Linked DNA regions of Lepisosteus oculatus. The protein of the gene in region 3 purifies or fractionates together with the protein of the main gene of each other region. This does not show direct contact. Links are inferred from orthologs where the notes say so. Each region holds a gene or a part of one and is shown on either strand. Other genes may lie near its edges.

Region 1 (7,710 bases), on a different chromosome or scaffold from region 3:
CCAGGTGGGGGTACACACTGGTGGGGGTGGGGGGGATCCCCATTACCTGTAAAGTGCTTTGAGCGGAGTGTCCAGAAAAGCGCTATATAAGTGTAAGCAATTATTAATTATTACTATTATTAAGACTTTCTCAGGGACACAGAATCCAGCTGCAGCCACACCTGCGCTCCCAGTACGAAGGTGCTTGTGAAAGGCTGCTCCGCTTCTCACTCGCCCCGAGACACTGCCCACCACAATCCCTGCCGGAAGAGCTCGAAAAACAATTATTCCGAATGGAGATCCATCCTTGGGAGAGGGATCGGCGAGGCCCGCAGCCGGATGACCACCTGAACACTAGAGAAGAGCTTCCCAGCTGGATCTATCCTGGACCTTTCCGGACGGAGCTTACAAAACTGATTCACCTGGAGGGAGACGGAGACGGGGAATGGGGCTCTTCCCATAACCGGGCTTCCCACTGTTGCTCCCTGCCAGCAGGAAGTCCAGGATGTGATCAAGCAGCAACACAGCGGATCCCACATCTGGAAGACACATCTGTGCCTCCTAGGGAAGATAATCCCTTCCCTCCTCAACAGACCTGAACACCCACCCTCGCGCAACGGCATCTGAGAAACCAACCCAACCCAAGCAAGCACGCCAGAACAATGGGCATCCATACTGGCACCCCCTCGCCTCCCAAACACCTGCCCACCTGCCGAGGTCTTCACGCGCTGCTGGCGAAACTGCCCTAGTGGGAGAGCGATGCCCCACTCCTCCGCCTCCGCCGGAGGGGCAGGACCCCCCACAGAGCCCCCGCAGAGGCCAGCCCCCCGCCTCCCAACGAGCTCATTGATGTGAGCTCTGCGCAGCTGCTGGCTCTGGGATGAGCAAGCGTTTCGCTACTTTAGAAGAGAGCTCAGACAAATGAGCACTATTTAGCACACCTGCAGCTTGTAAGAAGGTACGTCAGACATACCAGCAGGGGGGGGGGGAGCTCGAAGACGTGTTGTCTGTGACAACTCTGGTGTCCTCCTGCAGCTCTTCAACAAGGCCGGCAACTTGAGCACACGAGGCACAGGAGTCAGGTCCAGGGAAGTAGGGTCACTTTCTCAAGCGTGTTGGGCAGGACTGAGGTTTTGGTCGCCATGTTAGAGAGAGCAACGTTTGCTCCGGACCTCCGTCCAGAGGAGGGAAACAACGTTAATTCCCAGCCTCACAGGAAAGTCACAAAGAGAATAAAGGAGCTCCATCCCGTTAACCGTCACAGAGAAGGAGGATGATGGGAACTATCCTGAAAAGTTGCTGATACCCTAGCAAGAAGGGGACCTCAGGACCAACAGCAAAGCGAGCAGACCAATCAGGAAATGACAGAGAAGTGCATTTATGAGCGAAAACAAGAGATCCCTCCTTACTCAAAGAGTGGTGGGAGCATGGAGCGAGCTGCCCAGCCATGATGCCGATGCCCTGGCTGCTCTCAAGAAACAGCTGGATGAGATCCGAACAAACTGGTTGGACCCAGTGGCCACCTCTCGTTTACGACTGGCAGATATAATAAGTGCTTGTGGTGCATCTGTCTGCAACCCCAGCAGTTAGCCCAGTAACTAGTCGTTAGTAATTGGTCTCCATGAAGCGTGAGTGTTTCACACACAGCCCTGGAGAGCCACCATCCAGCTCTCCCAGGCCCTGATCCGAACGCGCAGGACACAGGTGGTCCCACAGTATGTACCGCCCTTGGGGGACACCTAGAAATATGCTGGACATCCTGCAGACTTCCCACACCAGGAGAGGACACCATACAAAGTCCCTGTCCATACACCCCAGAGTGCGGCCCCCCAGTCTGTACGGCCCAGACTCCGGCCCCCCCGGTCCATACAGTCCTAGAGTCCACCCCCAAAGCCCAGAATCTGGGCTCCCAGGTCGACATGCCACCTAGCAAAACTTCCCGAGAACAGCAGAGCTCAGGTCAGTCGAACTGGCAGCTCATCACAATCACAGCTCCAATGGAGTTAAACCAATTAAGCCATTAACCCATTAAATCCACTCCGCGGGCAGGGAGGACCAACTTCACGTCCGAGCGGCGAGGACGGAGACAGCAGAGAAGCCCTCAGCCACACTGCCCTCCCTCCCTCACTGAAAACACTCAGCGCTCAGCCCCATGACAGCCGCTGGACACCAGCACACCAGCCCAGGACAACCCCGCTCGGACAGAGAGGAAGCGGACGGGGCCCTGGCTTTCGCCAGCTCGCTGGCCCCCACCACCACCACCCCCCCCGAGGGAGGAGGGCGCAGGGAGCCCGGGGCACAGCGGCCGGGCTCCGGCACAGACCCGCGGACGCGCACGGCCCGTCCCAGAGAGCCCAACTTCCTCCTCCCGCCGCCTGGCCGGCCCCGAGTAAGTTTGTTTGGGTTTGTTTTCGCGCGGGGGAGACGGGGAGGAAGACGAAGGCGAAGCGGCGGCTCTTTCTCGCCTCCGTGGACGGACGGATACTGGCGGCTGTTCACCTCGCACACACACAAAAAAAAAGTCTTCTTTCCACCCACCCACCTCCCCCTCCTTCTCAACACAACCCCCTTTTCTCGTGCCGTTGCAGCCGAGCGAATGCGAATCTATTGCGTGCAGGTACAGAGAGACAGGCAGAGCTGAGGTCTGGAGCTGGAAGTCTAAATGTGTAGAAAAGCGAGCCTTACACACAAGATATCTGACAGTAACATATTGCAAGCAGCTACGCACTGCTCAGATGAATCCCTGAAACATATTATGTGCCAGGCAGACATGATTTGGTTATTTTCTTTCTATCTAGTGATTCCTCAAACGCAATTGCGTCTAAATATTGAGTTAATGTTGGAATACACTTGGACCGGGAGGGGGGGGTATGTTTGGGAATTTCGCTGTAAAATCGCTCCTCCGGCCCAGCCGTGCGTGTTTTTTTTGGCATTTTGCGGGCAGTAAAAGCGGGGTTTGCGATCCACCTGCAGTGTGCAGATGTTGCGGCTTTATTCGAGTTATACAGATTTATAGAGAAATTGCTACATTGTAACAAACTCACCCGAGACGATAGAGGTGCAGGCAGCGCGGGGTCTCCGGCACAGCCCCGCACGGGCTCCCATACAGGACCCGGCAGAGCAACAAACGGAGCAGGGCAGGGCGGCCCGGCGCGATCGCCTGACCAAAAATCAGACGCACTCCTGCCAGTCTGTGGCGAGCAGATTACAGCACACAGGTCATTTCAGTAGTAACTGTTTTGATTTCCTTTTGACTGATTGCTTTCGATCTTATTTTGACTGAATCGTGAAACAGGTGATTCACATCAGACATTATTTGTTTCATGGGAGATGTGAATTACTTCATTCTGGCAGTGTGTATTGCATAACCACAAAGGTTAGCCTAGTCAAGGAAAAAAAGCTTCCAAATGTCTGTTCCCTTTATAACTAATTTCACATTAACACTCATCATCCTCAGACCTGAAGATACTGTAAAGACTCTCAGTCTGGTCATCTGTAACCTCACATTGACACTCATCATCCTCAGACCTGTAGATACTGTAAAGACTGATCATCTGTAGCTGCACAGTAACACTGAACAATGCCTGATTCGGTGTGCAGCACTGTCTATTGTGAACATGTCCGGAGGAGCCCACGATGAGCATCATTAGGAGCTGAGTGAGGGTGAGGAGCTGGGGACTCTACCCTGGTCTACTTCTGCACCAGCCGTTTACACTCAGACCAATAAAAAACGCTGAAGGAACACAGCCTGCTTCCAGCAGGACAGTCCCTTCACTACACGGTTCTAGTTCACCTCCTGGTTCTAGGTCTTAATCATAGACAGTGTCCCCCTCCCTCTCCCTGTAGTTAGGAGTCCCGAGTCCTTATCCACTAACCCTGTCATTCAGCTAGTGATGCCCAAGCCTTACCCAAAGGGGGGCGGGAGTGTGGAACAAGCTGATACCCCGACTTCCTTCAGGAAACAGCTACCGAACGGGCAGTGCAAATCGGGGAGAGAGGTCTTAACTAGCAGGGCAAGTATAACATTTTAAAGAGGGCTCATTAAATAAAAAAGAATAACAGGAAAGACACGTTCTTTAAAATTGTACTTTCTTCTTGTAAGTCCTGGTCACACAGAATCTAATTTTCCAAGGGCCTAGAGCTCCCTTTATTCCATCTGTAGAGTTTAGGGGGAGTTTTAGGTCTATCTTGGAGAGATGGAATTACAGATAGCTGGTGATTGTCTTTTCTGTTTCTCAGGCACCGATGTGCCATCACACACATGCTCACACAAAATCTCAAATATGAAAAGACACACACTGAGTTATTAAATTCTGGGTTACCAAAAATCAAGATTTTAGTAAATCATCAAATCTTCAATTCTGACAGATGAGTTTATGTAAGAAATGCTGCAGAACTACATATAAAATAAACATGACATCCAGAAGAAAGAGGAAGGGTAGCACTGACTTCTTTGAAGGATCTGAAGTAAATAATAAAACGATTCAGTCAGGCGTAAACAGGGACAGCCCCAGCCGAGGCCCTGGCGCTTCCTATGACCAAACGGGTTGTAAGGAATGAGAAAACGCCGCTGCTGATTGGCTCAAACTTAAAAACATCACAAAGAAAGGGTCGGCGCAGGATGGAGCCTAGCCGCTCGCTGATTGGCGGATCGTGGAATGATTGGCAGAGAGGGGAAATCATTAATAAGAAGGCGTGGCCCCGGCTGTTGTTTATAGTTCCTGATTGGCTGGATTTGAATCAGAGTTAAGGCTTGTGTTTACGCTTTAAGGTGGGGCTACAGACGGGTTTACTTTGGGACAGAAATACAGAGAAAAAAAAATCAGTCCTACTTCAGAGAGAGACAGAGAGCGTTAGTGACAGGAGCGCGATAACCGGGGGAGCTACGGTTCCGATTCGCTTTATTATCGATTTTTATTTCGCTGATTGTGATGTGACGCCGAACAGCGATGGCGACCGGGAGACATGTTTTCGCCAGGACATAACCCTGGTCTCGTCTCTTTCTCCAAAAGTTGTGTCGGATCCCAATAGGCGATGGCAGAAAAAAAAAACAGCAAAAAAAAATACTCATAAGGCCGTGTACAAACTGCACAAGGCGACGACCGTAAAAAATGAGTGCAGTGGTGTTTCCAGTCAGCTGTTCTGTTTTGTTCTCTGAACGAGCCGCCCCCTCTTCCAACACGCACACACACCAAGATGTTTTTGCAAAAGGTTCCCACAAGAAGGCGACAGATCGCTTCCGCGTCTGTTTCGGAGTCTCGGTGACGTGATGTATTGACACAGGCGCAGCCTAGGTTCACGGACAGGGGTCCGGTGCGCCCTAGACCAGCAGCATCCGAAGAGTAGGGAGAAATTAACAAACTGGTCTGATTAAGCCAGTAAGGAAATGACTGGGGCGCTTAAGAGCACAGCTGGACTGGAATCCTGCAGGTACACTGGCCACCCCAGGAGCAGGAGAGTAGAGTCCTCTGTTGCTCTCCAGGCCACGGAGGTATGGGGAGTGTTGCTGTGCAGACAGCAGGTGACTATCGTGACAAAAATAATAACAGTATCCTCACACCTGTATGGCGCTGTTCTGGACACTCCACTCAGAGCGCTTTACAGTAATGGAGAATGCCACCATTGCCACCAGTGTGCAGCCCCCACCTGGATGATGCGACAGCAGCCATAGTGCACCAGTACTCTCCCCACACACCAGCTCTCAGTGGGAGGAGAGCAGAGTGATGAAGCCAGTTCAGAGATGGGGATTATTAGGAGGCCATGACCGGTAAAGTCCAGGGGGAAATTTGGCCAGGACCCCGGGGTTACATCCATACTCTTTTCGAGAAATACCCTGGGATTTTTAATGACCACAGAGAATCATGACCTCGGTTTTACGCCTCATCTGAAGGACGACACCTTTTTACAGTATAGTGTCCCCATTACTATACTGGGGCATTAGGATCCACACAGACCGCAGGGTGAGCGTCCCCTACTGGTCCCACTAACACCTCTTAATAATAATAATAATAACAATTGCTTACACTTATATAGTGCTTTTCTGGACACTCCACTCAAAGCGCTTTACAGGTAATGGGGACTCCCCTCCCTAAAGCAGCAGCCTCAGCTTTCCCAGGAGTCTCCCCTCCAGGTACTGACCATGCTCACACTGCTGAGCTCCAGGGGGCTGCCAGCTGAGCTGCAGGGTGATGGAGCTGCTGGCCATGATGATAACACCGGAGTCAGGCAGGGGTCACGCCAGCGAGCAATGAGCCCGAGGGGTCATTGGTGCCAGGCCCGGTCCTGGGGACCCCAAAACCTCGTTGCTGCAGCTCCCCAAACCGAACCAGTGTGTGTTTCTCTCCCCACCCAGAGGTGGGAGACTGTCAAGGCGCTGAAGCAGCTCAGTGAGGTCCGGAGGCGACCTCCGTCAGTGACCGGGGGAGGGACGGCTGCAGGCTGGGTTCGCACCCGGGGCCGGGCGGCGGGAGGGAGTCACCTGCTCACCACGGGTGTATCTGACCGTATTGTACTCCGAGAAAAAAGACAGTCGTGTATAAAGCAACAACACAAACAGGTTTACTCGCTGCTTTTCGCCAGGCTTCTATCGCAGAGGTGACACGTCACACGTCACGTACAGGCCCTGCCTGGGCATTCAGAGAGGGTCTTCTCAGTTTTGTTTCCACGCAAGTGGGAGGCGCGCCAGTTGACGGAACAGCGCTCATAGCAGGGTTTTTAAAATCTGCGTCCGAGCGAGTTCCCTTTTCCCGGAAGTCTGGGTAAACGAACCTTGAGCGCTGTGAGAGGCGAGTGGAGCCCATGAGCACACGCCCCCCCCCCCACCTCCGGAGTGGGAGATACTGCCACTCGTGTCGCGGAAGGCCACGTGGTTCTTACCCGACCCGAGAGCGGGATTCCGGATCTCGCGACTCTCAGTTCCAAACAGCCGCGCGGGGGCGAAGATGGCGGCGCGCCCTCTCGCCGTCCTCGAGGTTGGCGCCACTGCGTCACCGCTCGGGTCCGGGCGCGTGGTCTGGCCGCGAGGCAGCACCCCGGAGGAGGAGCGCTCGAGCGGTCGGTCGGTCGGCGGGCGGGAAGGGGACGCTCGCGCTGTGTACTTGAAGTCGATCCCCGGTCCCTCCCGCCTAAAGCGCGATCGCTCGAGCCGCTTGATCGCTCGACTTTCTTGAATAATTCGGTCGCCATTTTCTTTAAAAACTTCAAAACGGCCACCCGGTCTCTGGGCCCGCGGTAGCGACCGGCACTGAAATAATCTGATCTGGGGAGCGAAGGAAACGGGCAGGAAAACGCGATTGCGATTGACCCCAGTAACTACGCGGCGTTGTGAGTATCGGCGAGTAATATTCACTCATTTATTTTTATTCAGTGAGCGCTTCAGTCCATCACAGAGTGCAGCAGACCTGGCGGAGCTGCGCCGTGTACCGATTATTCCACTGCGGCTTCATAAACAAGGCCCAACCAATGAAGTGATTAATAACAGGACTGTTCTGTTCTACTGTACTGGGACTGTAGCTCCTATTGTAACAGGACTGTTCTACTGTACTGGGACTGTAGCTCCTACTGTAACAGGACTGTTCTACTGTACTGGGACTGTAGCCCCTATTGTAACAGGACTGTTCTACTGTACTGGGACTGTAGCTCCTACTGTAACAGGACTGTTCTACTGTACTGGGACTGTAGCCCCTATTGTAACAGGACTGTTCTACTGTACTGGGACTGTAGCTCCTACTG
Region 2 (7,375 bases), on a different chromosome or scaffold from region 3:
GCTCCCCAGTGACCCTGAATTGGATCGAGCAACAAGAAAGTGGATGGATGGATTGTCTCGAAAAGTGGAGACATTTTTAAGCACACTGGGCTTCTTTTCCCTTTATGTTCTTACAAGGCAGGGCCCTTAGGACCAAGAACAGAAAGCAATACTTTGCAAAAAGAGGGGCGGGTGTCAGGAACAGTGTGCCCAGATGGGTTGTTGATGCTGATTTACTGGCATCTTTCAAGGAAAAGCTGGACAAGATGCATGAATCAGGTAGCTACTAGCAGACAGCTGAGCTTGGCCTCTTCTTGTCTACAAACCTTTGTAGGCTCTTGGGTGAGAACCTCACCTAATATTGTACAATTATACAAAAGCTTGCCGGAACAAGATTTTCTTTCACATTTTCTGTTTAACGGGTATGACCTTTACCCCAAATACTACTTTTAACATTCAAAATGTCTGGTTTTACTTATTCAGCTTGATTACACAACACATAGCCCGGTTCTACAAAACTGTACCAAGATTCGCATGCAAGTAATATATAATAGTGTTTTCTAACTGAAAATCATGTGTTGACTGCTAAATTATTGTTTAGAGGACAAATTCTGAATGTTTGCTCCACTACTGGAAACCTACTTTTAAAAGTTAACCATTTTAATTTTGCATTCATGTGAACAGAAACCTCATAATGTTATAAAGCTATTCTAAACCTACACTGATATCCACTTCAATTGCTCTGGGAAAATAAAGTAACCTATTCTTTAAAGCATATTTTCTGTGCTTGCGTTTAACAATAAAAAATGCTAACACATAATGTGGTTTTGGCCTACAGTCGCCGGATTTATGATTAAAGATGAAAATACCAGGGGGTTCAACCATCATTAAGGGCTCTTCGTGCAAAAGGAGACTCAAAGACATCCTGACCCACCAGACACCACCCCCTCTAAACCCGTGGAGAGCTGAGACAGCGCCTGCCATGCCAAACAAACAGTCTAGACACAGAAGATGCTTAATTCTGCTCGATTGTGAACCACTGGGCAGAAATCCAGCTCTGGCACTGCGGAATCTCACACAAAAGAGTTCCTGGCTATAGCTGTGCGAGATAGCGCTGCGTGGTACCCATGACAAAATTTAACCCATGGGACAGACAGGCAACAAAGTCCAGAGACTCGCGGATTGGAGACGGCCAAAGACGAGCGTCATCCCCGAGAGCGCTCTTTGTGCGCCTCTGACCTTCGAGACGGACCGGATTTGGTCCACTTGGATGTGAAAAGCATCTTCGGCTTTAATGTGTAATTGTTGCATCGATGAGATAAGCAAGCCTCCTATTGTTACTCTCATGGTCGTTGTCACGCGAAAATGCAGGGTGAGAAGCACAGCAGTTTGCAGAGAAAATTTGGAGCACTGTAAATGCCTAGTTAGCGTAAAGAGAAACGTCCCCTTCTCTAAAAATATAGAGTTTATCCGATCAAACTGGATCTTAATTTCCCCTGCTAAACCCGTTTCTGCGTGTCCGTGCATGTACTGTTTTCCCCATTTTAATTACTTGGTCACTAGCTTGCCTCTAATTAGGTCCCAATTTCCATAGACTTGGAACCTTTAATCTAACCAGCAGTTAGACGGGATTAACCTTGGTGCTGTGTTGATGCGAGAGTCCCTTTTCCCTTAACATATATTTACAAATTATATAGGATTCTCATCTTTACCGTTATACTTCCTACGTCCCGATACGCAATTTGAAATAACCCCACATAAATTCAAAGAGGCGGTCATCGTATTGTAAGAGTTAGAAATTTTTACAGAAATATCATTCCAAAAATGTGGGAAAAAGTTGACTTTAGAACGAGCAATCTTCTGCAATGTCGAGGGAAATATATCCAAATCGTGAGTTTATCCTTAAAATACATTAAACCGTAAAAAACAGTTCCCGGGATTCCGTTTTTATTTCCATTACAACAGATTTTTAGCCCTCCAAGGATGTTTTTTATATATTTTCTTAAATCGACCTACGATGCCCTAGTAGAAAAACGACGACTGTTTTGTTACGTAAATCCTTCTTAAAACAATATTGCATGAAAGTGTACCTTATCTTCGGATTTCAAAACACAGACCGATATTTCACAACTGTAAAAGTAATGTGTTGTTCGTTCGCTTCAATGTGCTTTTTTATTTTTAAAAAGTCTAACATATTTGCGTGATCAGCCATGCACTACTTCCTACTCCCAGCCCCCACTGCACGCTACATCTGTTTGCTCTAAAGAGCGACTCTAAGCGCTAAATTTAAACCCCGAGACCGAATAAAAACTATTCTGACTCTAGAGCGCCGTCGTCATAGTATAGTTACAAACTGGAGATTATTGTTATGATTTGTGCGCGCCAGTGTCCCGGAACACTCCGCGCCACACAAAGATCCCTTCACCCGGCATTACAGCAGGCAGAAGACAGCAAAGGCTTCATGTGACTGCAACGAAATGGCTTCTGGGTTCAACCCACATTAATTCTTAATGGAAAAATCCATTTAAAAATTGCTCAAACCTTCGCTTTTGCGATCGGTCCGGCGGCTGGCACGAAGCGCAGGAGCGCTTGAGCACACCTGTGCCAACAGCACGATCCGAGCGATTTCAGTTCAAGATGACCCTTCTCGTTCATTTCATTCTTTCTTCTCCCTCTCTTCTCTCCTCCTCCTCCCCCCCCCAACAAGCTGGGCTTTCTGCTCTTAGATAATGAACCGTGGCTTTTTTTTTCTCCTCTTACCATTTTCGTACTTTCTCAATAGCGGCCATAACACGCTTGATGTCATCTTTCGCTCTGCTCCTGGTCTCTGCGCGGACCGACCTGCCCGACATTGCTGCTGTTGGTATAATATTTTTTAAAGCTCGCCGGCAGTTCAGACACAATGCATACACTCAATGTAGAGCTTTGTGAGGAGGGAGCGCGCCTGCGCCAAGAGAGCACAGAGCCTACAGCTGCATGGCAAAGCCAGGCTGGAGCTTTGTCACACAACTCCGAGCTACAACAATGTAGACAGAAGCAACAAAGGCTTCAAAGTTACATTGTTCACAAAGAAAGTTTCGCGAAAACTTCTCGAGTTGACACACACGATGCTGAAAGTTGCAGACGTACTTCCTGTTTCAACGCAACATTCCAGATGGGAAAGAAAAACAGTCTAAAAAAAAAAAGACTCGAACGGGTTTTGTTTCGGTTAAATTGTTTTACGGGTTTTCTTTTTTTTCCCGCACAATGCACTCGTCCAAGACGTTTCAGTGTCTTTTAAGACGTATATTATATATTTTAGAAATTATTTGTTTCTATGTTTGGATGAGAGGCATGGAACAGCTTTCATTGTGTTTCATCATATTGTTTTTTCATTATGTGATATTTAAACGCATTTTCATAGCAAACCAAAGTATTCTTAATACAAAGAAATTGCCCAGAAGAATAAAATCCAATACATAGTCAGATATATATTTTTTAAAAGTTATTTTGCGGACATTTATCGTTTCAAAATTAGTGCAGTCATTTCAACCTTTAAACTATACATATTATATAAATCAATATAAATAATAATAACACATCAATAAATATCTAGGTAAAATATTTTATTTAAAACAAAAGTTAAGATTTAGAATCTGCGGTAAGCCACTCCAGCTTCTTCTTTTGTAACTGTAAAAATGTTCAAATACTAAAGAGAGCAAAAAAAAATCCTAATTTTACTGACAAAGTGTTGAAGGTGAAAGCAACTTCATAACACACAGGTTGGCAGCTCCATCGACGAGTGGTGGGAAGCATCACAGCCTAGGACAACACAGACTCTCGGTCTGTCTGACCCTCTTCAGAAGATGCAGTTTCCTGGACAAAAACTGGAAAACCCAGTATGTCAGATGTCAAGGTGTCTATCGTGATTTCTTCAGGAATCACACTTTCCAGCAGAGACTCCGAACCTGTCAATTCAACCCAATAAAATAAAAAAAGTTAAAAGTGGTTTCTTCACATGAACTCAACAATATGCCCATCACTGTTCAATGTTACAGGAATACATATAATCAATAGAGTAAATCCTTAATAATTCCCTACACTTATATAGGGCTTTTCTGGACACTCCACTCAAAGTGCTTTACAGGTAATGGGGATCCCCTCCACCATCACCAGTGTGCAGCCCCACCTGGATGATGCAACAGCAGCCAAAGAATACCAATATACTCACCACACATCAGCTATCATGGAGGAGCAGAACAGAGTGATTAAGCCATTTCATAGATTATTAGGAGGCCATGACTGGTAAAGGCCAGGGGAGGAAATCTGGCCTGAAGAATGTCATATGATTTTCACCATTATTATTTCATCCATTATTACCATTAACTACTTAAGAGAGTCTGGTAAGCCATACTCAGTAACATTTTGTGATCTACATCTTTTGCACTGCATTATAGTCTTGTCACTCTGGGACAAGTCACTGCAGAAGACCAAGTAATTTAGTACTGTACATACCTGTAGAATCAAAGCTTCCCAGTTCCAACCTCCCCCCTTCAGGATTTAGCCCCATCAAGGTGGAGAAGTACTCGGCTAGCTCCTCTTCAGTCATGTGCTCACCTAGGAAAAAAAAAAACATTCCATAACGTGTTTCACATCCCCATGTAAACGTCTCATTCTGATTATTTCAAGGACCTTCAGCCATCCGAATGACGTCCTAATCCTTATTATGACATCATAAATCAAGCATAATACAGGAGACTGAGAGAAATAAGAGTTAAAAACAAATGCATGTTTTAATATTTTAAGTTTTATATACTATAAATGTCACAGCTCAAGGGTTGTGAAAGTGCAGCTGAGCTGATTAAGGACTGATGATACCAAGTGGCTGGGTATGAAAAAAGTATGAAAGATCCAAAATTAAAAATGACAAAAAGCCACAAAATGCCTGCCTTTTTTAATTTAAAGGATTTTTAATTCATTAATATCATGTGTGTATATTACAAGAAATAGGGAAAAGTGCTGCTCTTCATGTGAGCTCCTGTATAAAGTGCAGGCCCGCCTGCAGCTCCCCAGATTTTGTTTCTGTTGTTTGCTCTAATGATGAAAATACAGCACAGAACATGTGGGAACAGTCTGCTAATGTCTGAGAATTAAGGTCCAATCTGTTGTATTCTAACAAATCCTGATGTCACTCTGTCAATATTGGAATAATATGTCCCCTCAGACACTGAAGGTAACAAATGGACAAGCTGTCTATAATCATACCCAGAGCATGTGTGACATTTTTCCAATTGATCTGTCAGATGAAAGCAGCAACTTTAAAAGATGCTTTGTTACTTTGGACTGGAAGCAGTCTAACATACCTCTGGCCTGCAGCAGCTGCAGTAGCTCTCCCCTGTTCAGTGTTCTCTCCCCATTCTCATTTTCATAACCCAGAACTTGAAAAGCGTGCCTCAGTTCATTCATAGATATCCCAAATGCTGGGCGATGGTTTACATACAGTTTTATAAAATCTGCCAAATCAATGTCGGTCACATACTTTCCTGTATCTACATACTGGCTGAATTTGACCTCATTCAGCATATCTTCAAGCTGTGAAAATAAGGGAAGAGAGGTATATTTCGAACAGACAGCAGACAGTGTTTCTTTACACAAAAGTGTACAGGAGTCTAGAAGAAACGTCTATGCCAAGCTGATATCCTGGCTCCTTTCAAGAAAAGGCTGGGCATGAATCTGGGATTGATACGTTATTAGCAATCAAACAAGTTAGATGGACCAAAAGCCTTTCTCCTGTTTGCAACCTTTATTATGACAATAGTGATCAGTTTATAGTAATCAAGACTAATTTATTATTAATAATATTAAATATAATAAGGGATACTAAGCACATATGGCCTATAGATAGAATAGGTTAAGAGCATAAAGAGTGTTTTGTTCAGCTCAGACGTGGTGCAAAATGAGAGATTTAGTGCAACACAAAATGGCATCAAGTCAGGCAAGTATAAAACTAATAAGCATTTCTTTAGACAGGTGAAACTATAAATGACTGAATCATTCAAATTAAAGCTACATTACATTTCTTCAGTGAATGTAAAAAGCTCAGAAAGCAGACAGAGAAACAGAATGAAAAACAGGAAGAAAGAAACCTTTAATACAGATCTGACTGCCAGCATCTCTGCAAATCTCCAGACTGAAACCCTTCTCTGAGAATTGTTTCCGATGTTCAAGATACTCAGAGCACAGAACCATCTGTAGCTCATGATTTGCAAAGATGATCTTTGTTATTATTTCAGCCTTCAGTGAGTGGACTTATCTGAACCTGCCTCCTGCTCAGAGGGGTAGAATCCCAATGCCCGCATGACAAAAGGGATCTCTGCCAGGGGGATTCTTGTAGACACCTGTCGGGTCTCCATGGTGTCAATTCCTTGATTGCGCAGCTGGCAATAGTAAAAATAGTCTTCCAGTTCCTAGATGGACAAAACAAAAAACAGTACTGTAGCTCCCATGTTGTGTCTAACAATGAACTTAAATGAAGCGCGTCTATAAAATTAAAACAACAGCTTCATCTTTCTGTCTAGGTAAAATAAAAGCCAACTCATGCACTTCATAGCACAAGAATTAGATGAGTGATTTGATCGCATAAGAAAATGAGAACAGATATTTGCTAGAAGGTGTCTAACTGAGCCTGTTGTGTGTAAAAAGATGACACTTTTCAAAGCATTACTGTGAATTTTATTATACTGCCTATACTGCATTCAGCACCACTGTAGTACACATTGAAGTTCTATGTGCCTGCACAGGAAGTTCTTCATGCATTGATAATACAGCAAAACAGACAAGGTACAACTAATGATTTGCTTGTGTATTATCGACTCCTTTCATACATTCAGACATGGATGATAACGTCTGCTGTATTTCAGAAGAAGCCATTTTGGTTTTAGCACCTTCAGTGTTAATTTGTTACAGTTTAACTACTATTTTTGTTAGATTCCATATGGCATGCAGTTCATTTGTTAAATATATTAGAAAGTGGGGTTTAATAAATCTCCTCACCCTAAAAAGCTCCCCATCTCTCCCACCTTCAAGAACACTGTAAAAGGGAATGAGGTCCTGTCCTCCAAGAGACGCTGCTGCCTCGAGAGCACTACCACAATGCGAGAGAAGGAAAATCACTCACAAAGCCTAAACACGAGATCGATAGACAGCATGGCCTCTACAGGGAATTGAGGAACACTAGCAGGCATTCAGAGTCAGCTTGTGTTAGAATGCTTTGAGAGCAGCAACAGGCAGAAGTCAGGGTCATTTTGCAATGCAGTTAGAAGTAAAAACGTAGACAACATTTTGCATTCAATTGCAATTACAGTACTTCTCTTTGAAAATGGAGAAAGGTACTTGCTCCCAGTCCATTTGCTCTGGA
Region 3 (7,932 bases):
ATTCCACATCTCCCTCCCTCACACTGCTACTACATAGCTGCGTCTCCCGTCTTTCATAGGCAGCAGAACTAACCTTGGGCTTCCCTGAACAATCGGTGTGTCTGTAAAGCGTGCTGGCTTTGGAGCGGCTTTCACGCAGACATATTGTGCTGCCGCTGAAGGCCACAGGAGAGAACAGAACATCCTTTCAGTGGCGCCATTTACGCGCTTACAAAAGGCAGAAGATGCTATAAGACCTGAAACGCAACAACATGATTGCTAACAGTATTTGACCGTGAACCAAAGAAACAACGCAGTGAGCCGAAGGGATTTAACTGAATTCGCTTCTGTGGTGAATAATTCCCACGTCGACAAAAAGTTCTGCTTAAACTGCACTAGTCCCATCAAAGAAGCACATCTTTGTTCTTCCAAGCACTCCAGCTCTCTCCCAGGTATATCAGAATGACCAGACCACCTTGAGGTGCGGGCATGTGCCAAAATGTCGGATCTGAAGATAATGGCAGGTGGAACCAAGAGAAAAATGGAGTGTATCCTGCAGCCCCACAGGTTTTTGCGTAGACCCAACACTTCACTGGCAGCAATCTCTCGTTCCCCTTTTGTGCACCATAAAGATCTAAGTTAGGAATTGCTTTGCTAAGGGCAGTTTCTGCTTCCAGAGAGGACTGCTGTCATCTAGGTCTCTTTACCAAAAAGCCCAGAACACAGCCTTACAGCCCTGGGTTTATTGACCAGCGTGAGAGGTCCAGCCCTGCTCTTCCCCCACCACGATTCTGGGACAGAAGCTCATAAGCGATGAGCTTGCACGGTGGCAAACTCTACGACACCAGAAAACCGGATGTTCTCCGGGCAGCGAATTCTGCAGCGTCTGAGATCCCAGGTGAGCAAAGTCACCTTCTGCCACAAGCTCAGAGAGCTCAGTGCCGCAGAGTCCAACCAATTACAGTTGGCAGAATTCACTAGGAGCAACAACACCCAAGAATTAAGTATATTGAAAGGTTTATTGAGTGTTTTAGTCACAGTAAATCTGGCTTGGCCCGGCTTGTCTGAGGGCTACCCTCCTGACCACAGGACAAGGAGGCCGAGACCCCTCCGTGGAGTGAGGAGTGACCTAAGGGCAGATGCAGAGGGATGCAGGAGACATGTGAGGGAGAGAAGGGGATCACGTATAGCATTTATAATGTTTTAGGTGAGGAAATTACATAAAGAGTGATTACAGGCAGCTTAAATTGATTCAGTTCCGGTACCGTCCCATCTCCTAAACTTTTGTTATGAACTCCAGTGATTTTCTGTGTTGCTCCTCCTGCCATTACTGAGCCCCCCCCTAACAAACCCATCAATGACATCAGCACAGAGAGAATTCTAACTGGTACCAAACACGAACACATTACTCCACACCTGGCCCACCCACACTGGCAACACGTGACATTCAATCTTCACCTAGTCATCCAGAATGAAGATCCCAGTCACCCTTCTGATGAGCTAACCTAAGATCCAAAGGACACCCTTTAATTCTGTTCTTCTGTCACTCAACAGGTCTAACGTAGATGGTCAGTATTGACAAACCCTCTTTTAGAAGAAGACTGCCTCCTCTAAGGGAGGTGTGGGGTTTGCCAACGTGGCCTTTTTGCAATGCACATGCAAAGACAAAAAACAAAACTTCAGGAAAACCAAAGGCAGTGTGCACAGCACAGGGTATTGGCACGATATTTCAAGCAGCAGACTGCTGGTCAGACCCTACATGTATTTAAGATTTTTATCTTCACACGTCTGTGAAGGCAAACTCATTCAGAATAATTGTCCCAGCTTGAACAAACCCAAATATGGCTTTGCCTTTTGGAAAGAAAACTGCAGCTCGTAAATTCTGACATGGGTCTCATACCATCTGATGCTGCTGTGCCACGGAAATCATCATAAAGGGATTCAAATATTATATTGCTACCGAGGTTAAAAGTACACGCTGTTCGTATTTTAACATCATAATTTAGCAAACGTGGGATTCCTTCAAATATTCACACCTAACTTTAAAAACTTCAGCCCTTCATGAATAGCGAGAACTACATTAATTCAACACACATCAGCCCTACTTCGATACCTTATTTCAACTGTAGGGGAGGCTGAGGCGCTAAATTTAATTTGCAGCAAATCAGTCGTCGTGGCTATTGCTTATTCTGATCGCCAGTTGCAAACTTAGAAAGTTCAGTATCTTCGTTTTCTCCAGCAAGAAGACCCCGAAAAGCCTTTTCAGTTCTGCTTCCCCACCATCTGTGAGAAATACGACCACCTCCACGATAATTAGTCACACATTTCCCCCCACCCACCCCGTCTTAATTATGCCGGGCCTAAGCCTTGCTCTGACCGGGGAATACTGTGAACCGCATCCCTCATCAACAAGGGAAACAAGAGGGAAAGGGTGAGAGAGAATGAACTACAGCTGCAAAAATATATACACCCGCAACTTCGGCCACACAGCTGTACAGCTCATAATTGTGCTTTATCAGAAAGAAGCCTGGAAAGATAGAAACGGAGTGCGTTCAGCATCTTCAGCGTCACTTTCCTGGATATTGCAATGCAGAGGACATCCCTACAGTACAGCTGGACAATGCATGTGTATCACCTGGGCACGCTGTACCGGGAAATCAGCAAACCTTATCCCCACCCTCACCTCCTACGGCACATAAGGTGGTAAATGAGCCGTTTCTCTCAACGGCGGTTTAGCAACACAGCACACAAGCACAGAACTAAGAAAAACAGATATTCATCCGAAGTTTTCTCCTTGCCGACTTCTATTCTACCGCCTCTCTCTAACCGGTATACCCGGGTAGTTCAGTTTGAGCACCTGATAAAATATAAAGACGTTCGCTGGTCCTAATCCACACACAACCCCCTCCCTCGCTTCTCCGTCTTTCCCGGCTCCCTTTGTTCCCCTGACGTTACCGCCTCCCCCTCCTTACCGGGTATCCGGGCCCTGGCATTGGGGAGCGGTAAAGGTGGTTCTGTGCTGCCGAGGAAGGACCCATCCGGCCCGAGGGAGTCCCCGGTCCCATTCCCGGCCCAGCACCCGGTCCCGGCTGCCCTGGACCCAGCCCTCCACCGCCGCCTCCTGCTGCCGCCGCTTGGAAGCCACCGCGAGCCGCCATCTTCTCCCCGCTGAGCCCGTGGTGAAGAGGATATCGCGAGAGGGGCTGTACGAGATTTTGCTCACTGGTTGTCATAGAAACTGAAGAAGCAGCAATTATTCACACGGCTCTGAGCACACGCTGAACTTGATCGAAGCCATATTGCTGAAGGACGTGAAAGCAACGTTTATTTCCTAATTTGTCTTTAATATGAATAATTATGGTTTCAATGAAATGACTAATATGGAACGTGCGCAATGTTTATGTATCGTACGAGAATCAAAATCAGAACTCGTGTAAATTCAGTGTAGTTTTTAATTGTTTTATTATTTTGCTTTTGCAAGCAACTTTCTGGCTCGTAGATTCCCGTGCCGAATATAGTTTTCCATATAGACAAACATCAAAATATACATCTTGCGATTTTCACATTGGAATATTACTGTAAACCATCACAATTGCGTCTTCAATCTAATCAATGCGCTTAACTTCCCAAACTTCTCAAACATTTCTGCGTCGCCGGTTCAGTTTTACTGGCTATAAAAAGTGCTCGAGATAGTAACCAGCAGATGTCGCTGCTCTTCATTTTCCTCAGTGGAAGAATAGGTCTGTAATCCTTATATTCTTATGTAAAGCAGTAAATGAAGATAGATGGACTGATACAAATATTTATGATCTGACACGATTATTTAAACACCAGCCTCCCATGGTGAATATCTTGATATAACTATTATTTGCTAGCATTTTGGTCTTGTGTGCATCAATCAAGTGACATTCACTGGATTAACTTCAGTCTGAATGAGGTCACTTGGCACAAACTAATCTTCTGCACTGTAACCAGATTCTCATTGGTAAATACAGCTATGAAACAGAATGAATTATGAAACTGACAAGACTATACACACACCTTAGGAAGAACACCTTTTGTGTTATGCATGTTTTGTTTTAGAAAAAGCATGTCTTAAGGGAATTATGTGTTCCTTGTAAGCAGCATATAAACGCCCACTTCACAAGTCAACATATAGCTATACCACACTGATGGTATAAACAGCTATCCATGGCTGCTTACTATAATAAAACCTAAACTATATTACTTTAATAATATTTACACTCTATATAATGTACAGTACATTATAGGTTACTTTAATAATATATTAAATCACATTTAATATTCACATTACCATTAGGGACTGATTGGTTAAAAAGTAGATTGTGGACTTGATATTCCTATCTGTACAAAGCGAAACGTATTTGAAGAGTTGGATCAGCAACCATGGTATTTCTGTGCACGGATGAACAGCTTTACTGTTTGATTTCACAGTCCTACGTAACAGAACGGCTTTACAGAGCCAAGCAGACGACGAGTGCTGAGCTTCTCTTCCTCCGACAGCCCATTTGCAGGGGCTGCGAAGTTTCACTTGGTTGCTTGCCTCCCATTAGCCTCATGCAGAGCAGAATTGGGCATCCTTCTAACACGTTGAGAGCCGTCTTCACCGGCAGATGTCGGGGAAAAAAAGAACATTCTCTCATCCTAGGAGGATAATTATCCTGAAACAATGCATCACAGCTGACATGTCCTCCACGCCTCCCTTTTCCTCTTCATCCTGAAGAAGTGCTTTCTGTCAGTCCTAACAAGGGTGACCTCATACCTCATCGCGTTTGTCAGAGCCAATTTAAGTGCAGACGGGAGAGGGGCAATGTCGGAGCCGTCAGGAGAGGAGATGCTCTCTGCTAACCACTATCTGTTCAGCAACCCGGCCCACCTCTCCTGCCTCGCCGGTCAAAGGTCCCACTGCTAGGAGAACTCAATCGTGACAGGTGGGGGAACGGAGAAGCGAAGTTCGCAGATCGATCTGCGGGAGAGTACCGGTCTGCTCTGTGAGCTTGCCAGCTGGGCCAGGGAGCAGATGAGTAGCCCCGCTCACGGAAAAGATGACATTGTTCCTCCCTGTCCGATTTGCATCACACACAGCCGAACGGCATTTGCGCGTTCCTCCAGATGGGAAATGCATTCTGGAATCGGGGGTTTAGGATACACCCACAACCAGGATGTCCCCTCTATGTGACGGTCTCAAATGGGCATACTGCAATGTTTTTAAATTGCATAAGAAAATCTAAAACTACGTTTGTATGATTTTTTTTAAGGCACAGTGTTAATTACCCAGCTGCGAGGACGTGGCATCTGCCTTTTTCACTCAGAATGTCAGAATGTCGATCTCCTTTGCATTCAGCCTGTCAGTCTGTCTGTCTCAGCCAATGTCAATCAGAACCCCCCCCCACTCACAAACAAACTTCCCCTTTCGGCTTATTGATTCCTTGATCTCTGGCGTGCTTCCTTGGCTGCTCTGTGCTCCTGTCTAGCTTTCTGAAAAGTTCATCTCCGATTTAATACACTAATCACATCGAGCTAATTGAATAATACTTGTAGCTGGGCCACAGGCTAATGGAATTGTGTTTGCTCGCGTTTGTGGTGCACAAGCTAAAGTCCTGTATTATATTACTGAAGTTTTTTTTTTCCAGAAAAGGTCCCTGTTTTTGTTAAAATGATAGGTGTCTTTAGAAGTCTGCAGTAAGTCGGAGCCCTTCAGAGATAGAGAGATGAAATGTTGTCCCATCCTTCATTACAATCTCCTATAACAGCACATGTTGCAGATGATATGGATGACTAAATCCTTTTTTTAAACATGAGGGCCAATTGGGTTTATGTTGTTGGAACACAGCAGCTTTTGAAAAAGTCCCTGCAGCTCTGCTGACACAATCCTATCATTCCTGTGAGAAAACAATTCTGAAGGATACACAAACAGGCCCTGTGGATTTCAGAGCCTGAGACCTGCCATGTCAGATGTCAAGGTTTGCTGTGAAAAGACAGACACATGGTCCCCAGTGAATCCACAGTGAAGGATATTTGCAGCAGTTGCTGGCCCAGTTGCACAAAACAAAGCAAGAACATTTTATATATTTCACTTAAGGGGTCCTTGACTCTGTGTTGCACAGGGTAGCAGAAGGACACTGAATCCAATATCCCAGTTAAGAGGAAATACATAATATTCAAGGGGTTTAATACTTTGATTGGGTGGCACAGTGGCACTGTGGTTAATGTTGCTGCTTCTCTGGGGCTCTGAGCTGAATTCTGGACCTGGGGTGCTATCTGTGAGGAGTCTGCATGCGTTTGGGCTTTGTGAGTGTGTCCCCTCCAGGGTGTGTTCTGCTTGTGCTTCTTGTATGCTAGGATAGGCTCCATCCCCCAACCCTGTACCTTGATGGGAAGAAGTGGTTAGAAAATGGGTGGATGGAATATTAAGTCTTCTATGTAGGAAAGCGAACGCTGCCGATTCTTTTTATAAGAAAATGCAGTGACTCTCCTATGCCTGGGATAGGGTGCTATAGAACATCACATAGGGCCTCTACAAATGTCAGGAGCAAATAAAGACTTACACAGAACAGGATTTCTGTGATGGATGACAGGGCTCATTTTACTGTTGTACTTCCTAGGAAACAGCTTGAAAACGGTGCAATTAATCACTTTCTCTACAACCAAGATTTTCCTGCTCCGAGATTCATCACGGAGGAGGAGGAGGCTCTGTCTGAAGTCCCTCCCCACCCCAACACCCCCGCTCCTTATCTCCCCTGCCTTTGCGGGCTGATATCTGCTCACATGCTGTCACCAGGAAGGAAGGCAGGCGAGGAGACACAAATTAATTTGAAGCTGGAAACTCTTGTCCTTCCCATTAGCCAAGCTTCTTAAGATGGGAGCATTTCGTGGTTCAATCTTGGAAGAGGGCCCTTCCACAGTTACCCCCCCCCATGACTAAAATCTACGTCCTCTAAAGAACACCATTTGTCTCCTCCTTACTCTCTCTTTTCCTCTCTCACGCAGCTGGGGCAAGATCTGAAGAGTGGTTCGGCTTGCAGAATACAGGCTAGATCACATTAAATCACCACACATGTCTGGCTGTGTGCCCCTACACCCCCGCCCCCATAGAAACAGGGATGTCAGATGGAAAAGTGAAACCATTGTCCCAGCGGGACTGTCTTGAAGGTAACTGAAAGCAGTAAGAAAATATTAAAGAAAACGCTTTCTCAGTTCACTCCTGTTCCGTCTGACATTTCACCGGGAGGCGCTAACAGTGTTAAAACTGACGGGTGACACTCGATGGCGGCTCTCGAAGTGCCTCGCTCATAACTCACGCAGCGTTGTCAGCAGCACTCCCAGACGCAGTCTTTTCTGCTGTTTTTGTGCCGATAAGGCCGGGTGCCTCTGACAATTTACAGTAAAACAATGCTGCTCTTTGGAAAACACTCCATGGGCGAACTGCACAGTGCCGTATGGATCTGAAGGCTCTTGTGTGGGTGGGGTTGATCTGACAGAAGCACTCTGGTGGTTTCTCGTGTTGGTACCAGTGCCCTGCTTCAGCAAACAGCTGTAACACGATTTGTCCCTCTATAGTGAAGCCTGGAGATGGGCACTGAAAGGTAATAATAATAATAATAATAATTGCTTACACTTATATAGCGGTTTTCTGGACACTCCACTCAAAGCGCTTTACAGGTAATGAGGACTCCCCTCCACCACCACCAGTGTGCAGCCCCACCTGGATGATGCGACGGCAGCCATAGTGCGCCAGAACGCTCACCACACACCAGCTATCAGTGGGGAGGAGAGCAGAGTAATGTAGCCAATTCATAGATGGGGATTATTAGGAGGCCATGATTGGTAAGGGCCAATGGGAAATTTGGCCAGGACGCCGGGGTTACACCCCTACTCTTTTCGAGAAACGCCCTGGGATAGGTCATCCCTCCCTTTTTCCCGCAGCTGGCA
Region 4 (8,077 bases), on a different chromosome or scaffold from region 3:
CGCAGAGACGGGTACGAAGTCCTGGGCTCTCCTGTGCACAGCTCTGCCCCGGATCCATACGGCAGACTTGTCCCTCTCTGTCCCTCTCTGTCCCTCAGCTTTCTCACAGTGGCCCAGAGGACCGGGTGTCCTAATGGGATTCAGAGCGATTGATGAATCATTGTCCTTGATTGTCTGTTCTTAGTTACAGCCTCTTTGTTGGTCTATGAGCATGAAACCAAACCTGAATAAGATAAATATTTTTATTTTTTAGTTAATATTTTGGCTTGGTTGTGTAAATAATTACAATGTGAGTGGGTGACATTGACAGGGGAAACTTTTTCATTAGTGTTCTGTTTTAAAGAAAAGAAAATACTGTAATACAAATTGAGAGTCCAAACTGGGTGAAATATCCAGGAGTAAAACTCATCATGGCTGTGATTTCTGCTTTATCCACTCGGCTGACGAGAGTGAGGGCAGGGACTGTGAAGTTGCTGAGCTGGTTTTGTTTGCCTCAACAGTTTGTTTACACTTTATTTTCACTTCTCTTAAACACTTTTGACCCTTAAGGTCTGGAAAGAGAGATGCAATTAAAAAGTAGAAATCATGGAAGAGCAGAACTCAGAGTGGGTGTTGTATTGAGTATTTTTCTTACTTTACAAAATGCTATTTAATGGTTATGGTGTGTGGAGCATCTGTATTAGAGCTTTTACTGAGAACCCAGTGACATCAGTCACACATAAAACAGTGGTGCTGTTGGCAACCCCTTGTTAAAATAACCTCTGTGAGCGGTCTGCTTCTCCAGAACACAGCCCTGACATTGTGAGAGAATTTAACACTGACGTTTGACATGAACCAGGCACGTGCTGTCTGCAGGACTGCCCCCATGAGGGCCTGACATCCCTTCTGTCCCATCGTGTGTTTTCCTGCTCCAGGCAAGTTCATCATGACAGCCTCCAGTGACACCACCATCCTGATCTGGGACCTGAAGGGGGAGGTCCTGGCCACTATCAACACCAACCAGATGACCAACTCTTATGCCACCATCTCTCCCTGTGGCAGGTCAGTACCCCGCTGCCCCACCCCCAGCACCCCAACACACCCACCCCGAGTAACCCCAGCTGTGCCTCTTTCTGTAAACAGCTCCGTCAGTCTCGCGTGACCATTGAAGTTCTGAGTCCAGAACTAAAGGTTTCAAAGTGGTAAGGACACTCGTTGGTTTGTCTGAGGAAGGCTGTAATGAGGAGAAGACTCTGGGTGGCAGATGGGCTGAGACAGGTCTCCGTGGCCGTCTCAGAGCTCCTGCTGACACCTGGTAGAACCGGGCCCGTGCGGTTCAGCCCACACGGTACCGCCCCGGTGCTGCTGTGCTGCGGGGACCTCGTGTTGGCCCAGCGAGTGTGAACCTGTGCTCTCGCTCACGGTTGTGCGGCAGGTTCGTGGCGTCCTGCGGCTTCACCCCGGACGTGAAGGTGTGGGAGGTGTGCTTCGGAAAGATGGGCGACTTCAGGGAAGTGGTCCGAGCCTTCGACCTGAAGGGCCACTCGGCTGGAGTCTATTCCTTCGCCTTCTCCAACGACTCGCGCAGGTAGGGAGTCGGAGAGCAGCTGAGAGCACTTCTGTCAGGGACTGAAATGTTTTCCTGCATGACTGGCCTGACTCTAAAGGTCTTGAGCTGGAGCCCCCAGGTGGTGCAGGCTGGGCTCCCTGATTCTCTCGTGGGGAGTCTGAGCTGCGTCACCCCATCAGCGGGTTGTGACTGGGGGATCCCCCAGTGGGGCACACAGCTGGCAGAGCTGCCCGGGGGCAAGATGAGAACACCGATTCCTGCTGCTCCTGTATTACTGAGCGAGTAGGAACTTAAAAAGACAGTAAAAAGCTCTCGATCTTAAGTGGATGGTATGTTGTACAATTTGTTGTAATTTGATGTTTAAATATTCTTCAGTGATGTATAAGAGGTGGGTATTGTGTGAGGTTCAGGTATCCTGTCCTGCCCCTCAGAGGGCCTTTGGGAGAAGCGCAGTATATCTCCTAGCTTATTAATACTCCTTAGTCATGGTGAGCCACGGCCTTACGGCTTTTCTTTTTTTCTAAAGGTCCTTTATATCCCCAAACATATTACTTATTACCCCATGTGAGAATGTTGAATTCACCACCACCAATAACCTGATAAGACTATTTACAAATAATGGCGGCCTCTAGTGGAGGCCAGCTGCTATGACAGCCCCTTGCAAGACTTGGCTGCCAAGGAGAGGACGTCACTTGTCATCTCCTGATTGGGCGTCTGCCTAAAGAGCACTTCCCTCGGGCACCGGGTCTGCTCTGGGTTTAACCAGGCACAGCAGGGACTGTTAGTGCCTTGCGGTGGTTCGTCTGGACTCGACTGGAGCTTCTGTTGTTGGCCCCACCTGCAGGATGGCCACGGTGTCCAAAGACGGGACGTGGAAGCTGTGGGACACGGACGTGGAGTACAAGAAGCAGCAGGACCCCTACCTTCTGCGGACCGGCCAGTGCCAGGTGGCCGAGCCCTGCCGGATCGCCCTGTCCCCCGACGCCCGCGTGGCCGCCATCTCCAGCGGCTGCAACGTGGCGCTGTACAGCGCGGCCGCGGGCGAGCTGGAGGAGGAGCTGCAGGGCGTGCACAGCGAGGAGATCGCAGACATGCGCTTCGACATCAACAGCCGCTTCCTGCTCACCTGCGGCGACCGGGCCATCCGCGTCTTCCACAACGCGCCGGGCCACCAGGCCGCCGTGCGCGAGATGCAGGCCATGCTGAAGAACGCCTCCAACGAGGCCATGCGCCAGAGACTGCAGCTGCAGATCCAGGAGGCCCAGGCCGCGCTGGACAGTGTGTGCACCCCCAAGGACTGAGGGGTCCGAGGGGTCCGGCCCCAGCCTGGCTGTCCCCCCTCCCCCCCCCTCAAGAAAGGAACTGCAGTGTCTTTGCCTTGCGTTTGGGCTTGGGGTTGTGTGCATCCTGGTTTTAAAAAAAAAGGTTTGTAATAAAATGTGCATGGAGCTCAGTGCTGCTGCTCCAACAGACCTGCTGGCTGGTAATGGTCACTGCTCCTCCTCATGAGCCCTGCAGGACGCAGGTGGTGGGGTCTGACCCCTGTGTCCCGACCCACAGCCTCCGCTCCGGCGCCTTGAGCTTGTAGCGGGCGGCCTGACGGCAGGCGTGTTCGATGATGCCTGTAGGTTTTTTTGCACCGCAGTTCAACTCGCAGGGAGCCACCAGTCAGAAGAAGAATTTCAAGTCTGTTGTAAAAAGCAGTGATGTCTGCTGCTAGATTTAACATTGTTTATAAGTGACTGCTTCTCCACATCAACATGGAAATTATTTAAAAATCAAAGGCACGTCTGGGGTCAGTAGTTGTTTGCTGAACCAGTCAGTTTCTGGGCCCAAGGGAGCATTGTGCGCCCCCTAGTGCCAGAGTATATTGATTGAAATCATGGATTTGGGCTCTTTGGTGTCAAGCGATTAGCGATCATAGGTCTAGGTCTAGATTAGGTCTAGAATGATATGAAGACTGATTTTACACATTAAAGAGCTATTGCCCTTTGTAAAGTTGGCTCATGACAATGAGTCTGTTTACAAGTGCTTGTAAAGGCACCATATTGATCTTACTTCTTTGACATTTCTGAGGCTGTAGCAACGGCCACAGTGGTTTCGGGAGGGAAAAGCTGTTCAGATACAGACAGGGATACGAGCTCATATCTCACAACGTGAAATGAACACGGAAAAGATGTGATCAGTGTCTCACTAAACAGAAATAAAGATAAAAAATAAATAACACATGGAAAAGGCATGCAGTGATTAAAAGCCTGACTGAACAGGTAACTATTTAGATTTCAAAACTGTAAAATAGTTCGCAGCTCTCCTGTTGATGGGGAGTGAGGCCCAGAGCTGTGGAGCAGGGCGGCTGAGACACTTGTACCTGGAAGAAGGGCCTGAAGATGCTTCTCGGAGTAAAGGCCTGCGTGTGCCAAGGGAGTAGGGAGAGGTGCGCTGTGCTGGGGGGATGGGGGGTGTTGGGGTGCTGGTAATGGGGAGCCAGTGAGGACGTGTCAGAATTGGGGCGGTGTGATCACGTAGGCTCCAACAGGCTAGAGAGCGAGCGGCCGAGCTTGTTTAGGAGCTGGTGGGGAGACTCTGGAAAGACTGTTGACATTCATCTGTCCAGCTGAGCTGTGAAGAAGTCTCTGATCAGGGTTTCTGCAGCTGCGTGATCAAGGAAGACCGAGTGCAGACACTGTTTCTGAGCAGAAAGTACAAGACTTCACAGGTGCCTTTAAATGAGCATCCAAAACATTTCATTAGAATTTCATAAAATACCATGTATCTTCCCTGGAATTTATGCACACACATCTCCTCAGTTTTAGTCAAATTTAAATGGGGGGAACTGGGCCCTCTTCGTGTGGGGGGAGAGGCGATGAGGCCAGGCCAGCTGGGTCTCCAGAGCACGCGAGCCAATCCTTCACCCTTTTCTGCCTGCATTATTTTCACAGCAGGGTCACAGGGGAGTCAAGAGTCTGTCCCAGCAAGCAACGGGCCCAAGGCAGGGTCCACCCTGGACAGGACACACACACACCAGGGGCAGTATTCCCAGAAGCCAATTAACCTACCTGTTTGTATTTAGATATTGGAGGGAAACTGGAGCACCCAGAGGAAACCCACACAAACCCAGGGAGAACGTGCAAACACAACACAGACAGCACCCCAGGGCCCCAGCAGTGCGAGGCAGCAATTCTAACAACTGTGCCACCATACTCCTGTCCTTCCACATGCACTATGATGACAACAACAATAACACTAACACTGATAGTAAGGAACGAGTGAAGGTTTATTCCGTGCTCAGAAGAGAGAAACACAGCGCTGCTCCTCGCGCGCACGCGTCAGGCGGACCACGTGGGGAGCCGGGCGGGTGCGGAGTGGCGCGCGCGCGCGCGTGCGGGGGGGCGGGGAGGGGGGGAGAGAAGTCTCGCGAGGTTAAAAAACCGGACGGCGAGACCCATTCGGTCGGATTGGCGACAAGAGGAAAAATATAAAAACCTGAGCCCCGAAATAAGATGTCAGGCCGCTCGGTTCGGGCCGAGACCCGGAGCCGCGCCAAGGATGACATTAAGAAGGTGATGGCGGCCATAGAGAGGGTCCGGCGATGGTGAGTGTGAGGGAAGAGCGCAGGAAGAAAAGATCGAGCAAACAATCCTGTAAGAGAAACTTCGGGGACGAGGAGCAGGCGGGGCGGCGGCGGTGACTGGCGGGAGAGTGACGGGGCTGCTGGCCTATCGCTGGCCGGGAGAGCCGGTCTCCTTGGAGACGGGGGCGGGGCGGTGGCGGAGGTGGGATGAGTAGCCGAGAGCTGATTGGCAGGCGCGGACGGGTGGGCGGGCGCCGCTGCGGTGACTGACAGCGGCGTGTGCCGAAATTACCGAAGGGTATCGGCAATTCAGCCGAAACGAGGAAATAATGTATTTTCCCCTATCCTAGCTCGAACAGGTCTGCGACAGGCCGCGCCGCCGGGAGCCGTGCCTTCAGTCGAGTGCACAGGGAGAAGGAGGGGGAATGTGTGCGGAGTTGGCTGTTAGTTAATACCCCAGGGAACCAGAAGTTTGAGGGTGAATTCTTTCAGACGTTAAAGCTGGGGATGGAACAGGGGTTTGCCTGAAAATAATGCCGAGTTTGCGAAAGGGGCAAGAACGGCGCCAACTGCAGGGCGCAGGAAACTGGTGCTGTTCTGTTACAGACCGAGTAACGAAATAAATGAACTGAAAGTTCGTCAGATATTTCCTCCTCCCCCACACGCAGTGATTGATTCCTTGAAAGATATGAGTGTGGTCAGTCTGGGCGGTGTGGTGTATATCCCACAATGCGGTGCTCCGGAGGCATGAGCAGGGGTACCGTGTGACACGGACACGGGTGGATTCGTGCAGCCTGAGGAGCGACTTCCGCTTCCCCCGTGCGTGGAGCTGGCACGGGGCGCGAGGCTTGAGCTCCCTTCCTCGGGCTGCGTGTCCGGTCCTGCGGGGGGTTCACTGTGCGCTGCAGGCCAGCAGTCAGGACCCCGATGTCCACAGAGACTGCAAACAAAGCCGCAGCTCACGGTAGCACCGCAGGAGAGCGTGGACACCGTGACACCCCACTGCAGTTTCTGGGCTCCCCCCTCTAGAGGTCTCGGCGGGGCCATGCCCAGGGGTTATTAAAGGTGATCGGACAGAAGTCCGGCTCTCCAGTCTCTCGTGTGAACTTGCTGCTCCTGCGGCTATGACGCCAGGGTTTTTTTTAAAAAGATGAAGCTGGCCGTCTAGGAAAACTGCGGAGACCTGCTGTATTTGTGTTTTAAGTAGAATCAAAAACGAACCTTGAGAAGTATCCCTTGGAAGAGCTGAGGTGCTGGTGTGGGTTTGAGGAGTCTTGAGTGCTGCCTGCTCCTCCTGTCACAGTGTCTTTCCCCCTGATGCGGGGAGCGCTGGCTCTGTTGCAGAGGAGGGATTCGAGTTCCTCTTCCAGCCTCCTTACTGAAAGGAGAGGTGGTGTCTCCACGGGTGAGAAAACCGCCCGGCAGCGATATGGTGCTCCTTTGGGGGCTGTCCAGTTCGCGGCTGGTAACAGCTCTGTCGCCCCTACAGGGAGAAGAAGTGGGTGACTGTAGGCGACACCTCTCTGAGGATATTTAAGTGGGTGCCTGTCGTGGATACCAAGGAGGTAGGGCTCTTCCTGCTACAGTGTTTATCTCTTTCTATTTTTATGCTTTAAAAATGTCTTCAGGTGAAATTTGCACAGAATAATGTCCATGGAAGGTTATGAATGGAGTTTGCTGCTGACGCCAGCCTGTCCCTGTTTGTGATAAACTAGACAACTCGAGTACAAGATGCCACAGGGCTGCTGCTGTGGAACAGGAGGAATGTGGAAGAGAGTAAAATAGAGGTGTTTTAGGAGCTCTGTTACTTAGAACATTAAGGTCAAGAGCAAAGGGTGTCCTTGTTTGATTGCTAGCAGATAGTCAATCTGAAGATCTTGTCCAGTCTCGTCTCACTGTGAAGACTGTGCTTCTACAAAGGCTGGGGCAGCTTGTTCCCTACACCCACAACCCTTTTTTGTAAAGAAAAGCCTCCTGCATGTTGCCTCCTGCTGCCAGTTTTATATGCCCTTCCACATAGTCTCTGCTTGTGCCTTCTGTTTTAATTTCACTGTTCGTTTTGAGCAGTAGCTTTAAAATGAAAAAAAATAAAAGCTAAAACATTTCACAATACCGTCTTCTCTCTGGAAATGTCTGTCTCCCTCGTGGTCTTGTTGTATTGGATTGTACTGTTAGCACATTGCCCCCAGCCCACCCTAGTGCTCAGGCCTTATCTAGAGATCCTGCTCCACTTCAAGCACGGCCACTGCTCTCTGTGAGCGTCTGCGGCAGGTCGCTGTACTTCAATGCAAAATAATCTTCTTCCTCTCTTGTAGAAAGAAAAGTGCAAAACCAATGGCAGCGCAGGGAGGGAGCTGAAGGGCTACCCTGTGGACACCGGGGATACGGCTTCAGAGAACAACCGCTCTGTCCTGCTGGACTTCCAGGGTGCGACACTGCCCTTCGCACATGCGCAGCGACTGCCTGTACAGCTCCTCAGCTGCACAGATCTAGGAGCTCAGAGGTTCCTCTGTGTTTACTGGCCCAGGGGCCTCTCGTCTGTAGGACTGTACCTCTCCTTGTTCATCCCAAAGACATGTGGTGTCGAAGTTCACTGCGCTAGATCGGGATCTCTAATTCCTGATCCATAGTTCACGCCCTCACCAGTTATCAAACGTGTGCTGTTCAAGTGCCCTGCAGTCATTTTCAAAATGCTGACTTCCAAATTCTTGTTTGCCTCATCTGTGGGTGTACCTAAAATCACAAGATCTAAAAAAGCCTGCACTTCCGCAGAAATAGATTGTTGCTTTTAAGATCGTAATTATGTTCTGTGTTTTGTTTGGATAATTATGTAGTTGGAGTCCACATGCCACAGCCTGAGCTTTGTTTTCTCGAGTGCACATTTTATGAGCTGCGGGTCTTGTTGAGCTGATAGAGTACACCATAGTCGAGAGGTTAACCCTCTGCCACGCCCAATA

Evidence for each region.
Region 1: the proteins of smarcd1 (region 3) and bicra purify together in Homo sapiens (affinity purification with mass spectrometry; 5 studies listed by BioGRID and IntAct, counting the BioPlex papers as one, with this or other methods). This does not show direct contact. The link is inferred for Lepisosteus oculatus from reciprocal best matches to the Homo sapiens genes SMARCD1 and BICRA.
Region 2: the proteins of smarcd1 (region 3) and bcl7a purify together in Homo sapiens (affinity purification with mass spectrometry; 5 studies listed by BioGRID and IntAct, counting the BioPlex papers as one, with this or other methods). This does not show direct contact. The link is inferred for Lepisosteus oculatus from reciprocal best matches to the Homo sapiens genes SMARCD1 and BCL7A.
Region 4: the proteins of smarcd1 (region 3) and bcl7ba purify together in Homo sapiens (affinity purification with mass spectrometry; 4 studies listed by BioGRID and IntAct, counting the BioPlex papers as one, with this or other methods). This does not show direct contact. The link is inferred for Lepisosteus oculatus from reciprocal best matches to the Homo sapiens genes SMARCD1 and BCL7B.

What each region holds. Positions count from the first base shown.
Region 1 is NC_090698.1:6,318,795-6,326,504, reverse strand, and holds the start of bicra (BRD4-interacting chromatin-remodeling complex-associated protein), read right to left. Parts: upstream 3,105-7,710; 5' UTR 3,085-3,104; coding exon 3,024-3,084; intron 2,369-3,023; coding exon of another isoform or gene 2,132-2,368; exon of another isoform or gene 2,038-2,131; intron 1-2,037. Other genes in the region: znf541 (zinc finger protein 541), read left to right, coding at 2,132-2,368. UniProt on the Homo sapiens protein: Component of SWI/SNF chromatin remodeling subcomplex GBAF that carries out key enzymatic activities, changing chromatin structure by altering DNA-histone contacts within a nucleosome in an ATP-dependent manner.
Region 2 is NC_090717.1:7,063,717-7,071,091, reverse strand, and holds the start of bcl7a (B-cell CLL/lymphoma 7 protein family member A), read right to left. Parts: upstream 3,070-7,375; 5' UTR 2,832-3,069; coding exon 2,740-2,831; intron 1-2,739. Other genes in the region: cfap251 (cilia- and flagella-associated protein 251), read right to left, coding at 3,781-3,926, 4,474-4,575, 5,322-5,550, 6,282-6,425, 7,012-7,102.
Region 3 is NC_090696.1:17,243,970-17,251,901, reverse strand, and holds the start of smarcd1 (SWI/SNF-related matrix-associated actin-dependent regulator of chromatin subfamily D member 1), read right to left. Parts: upstream 3,172-7,932; 5' UTR 3,138-3,171; coding exon 2,952-3,137; intron 1-2,951. UniProt on the Homo sapiens protein: Involved in transcriptional activation and repression of select genes by chromatin remodeling (alteration of DNA-nucleosome topology).
Region 4 is NC_090721.1:463,298-471,374, reverse strand, and holds the start of bcl7ba (B-cell CLL/lymphoma 7 protein family member B-A), read left to right. Parts: upstream 1-4,957; 5' UTR 4,958-5,049; coding exon 5,050-5,141; intron 5,142-6,609; coding exon 6,610-6,685; intron 6,686-7,435; coding exon 7,436-7,547; intron 7,548-8,077. Other genes in the region: tbl2 (transducin beta-like protein 2), read left to right, coding at 1-11, 915-1,041, 1,415-1,567, 2,394-2,850. UniProt on the Homo sapiens protein: Positive regulator of apoptosis. Plays a role in the Wnt signaling pathway, negatively regulating the expression of Wnt signaling components CTNNB1 and HMGA1.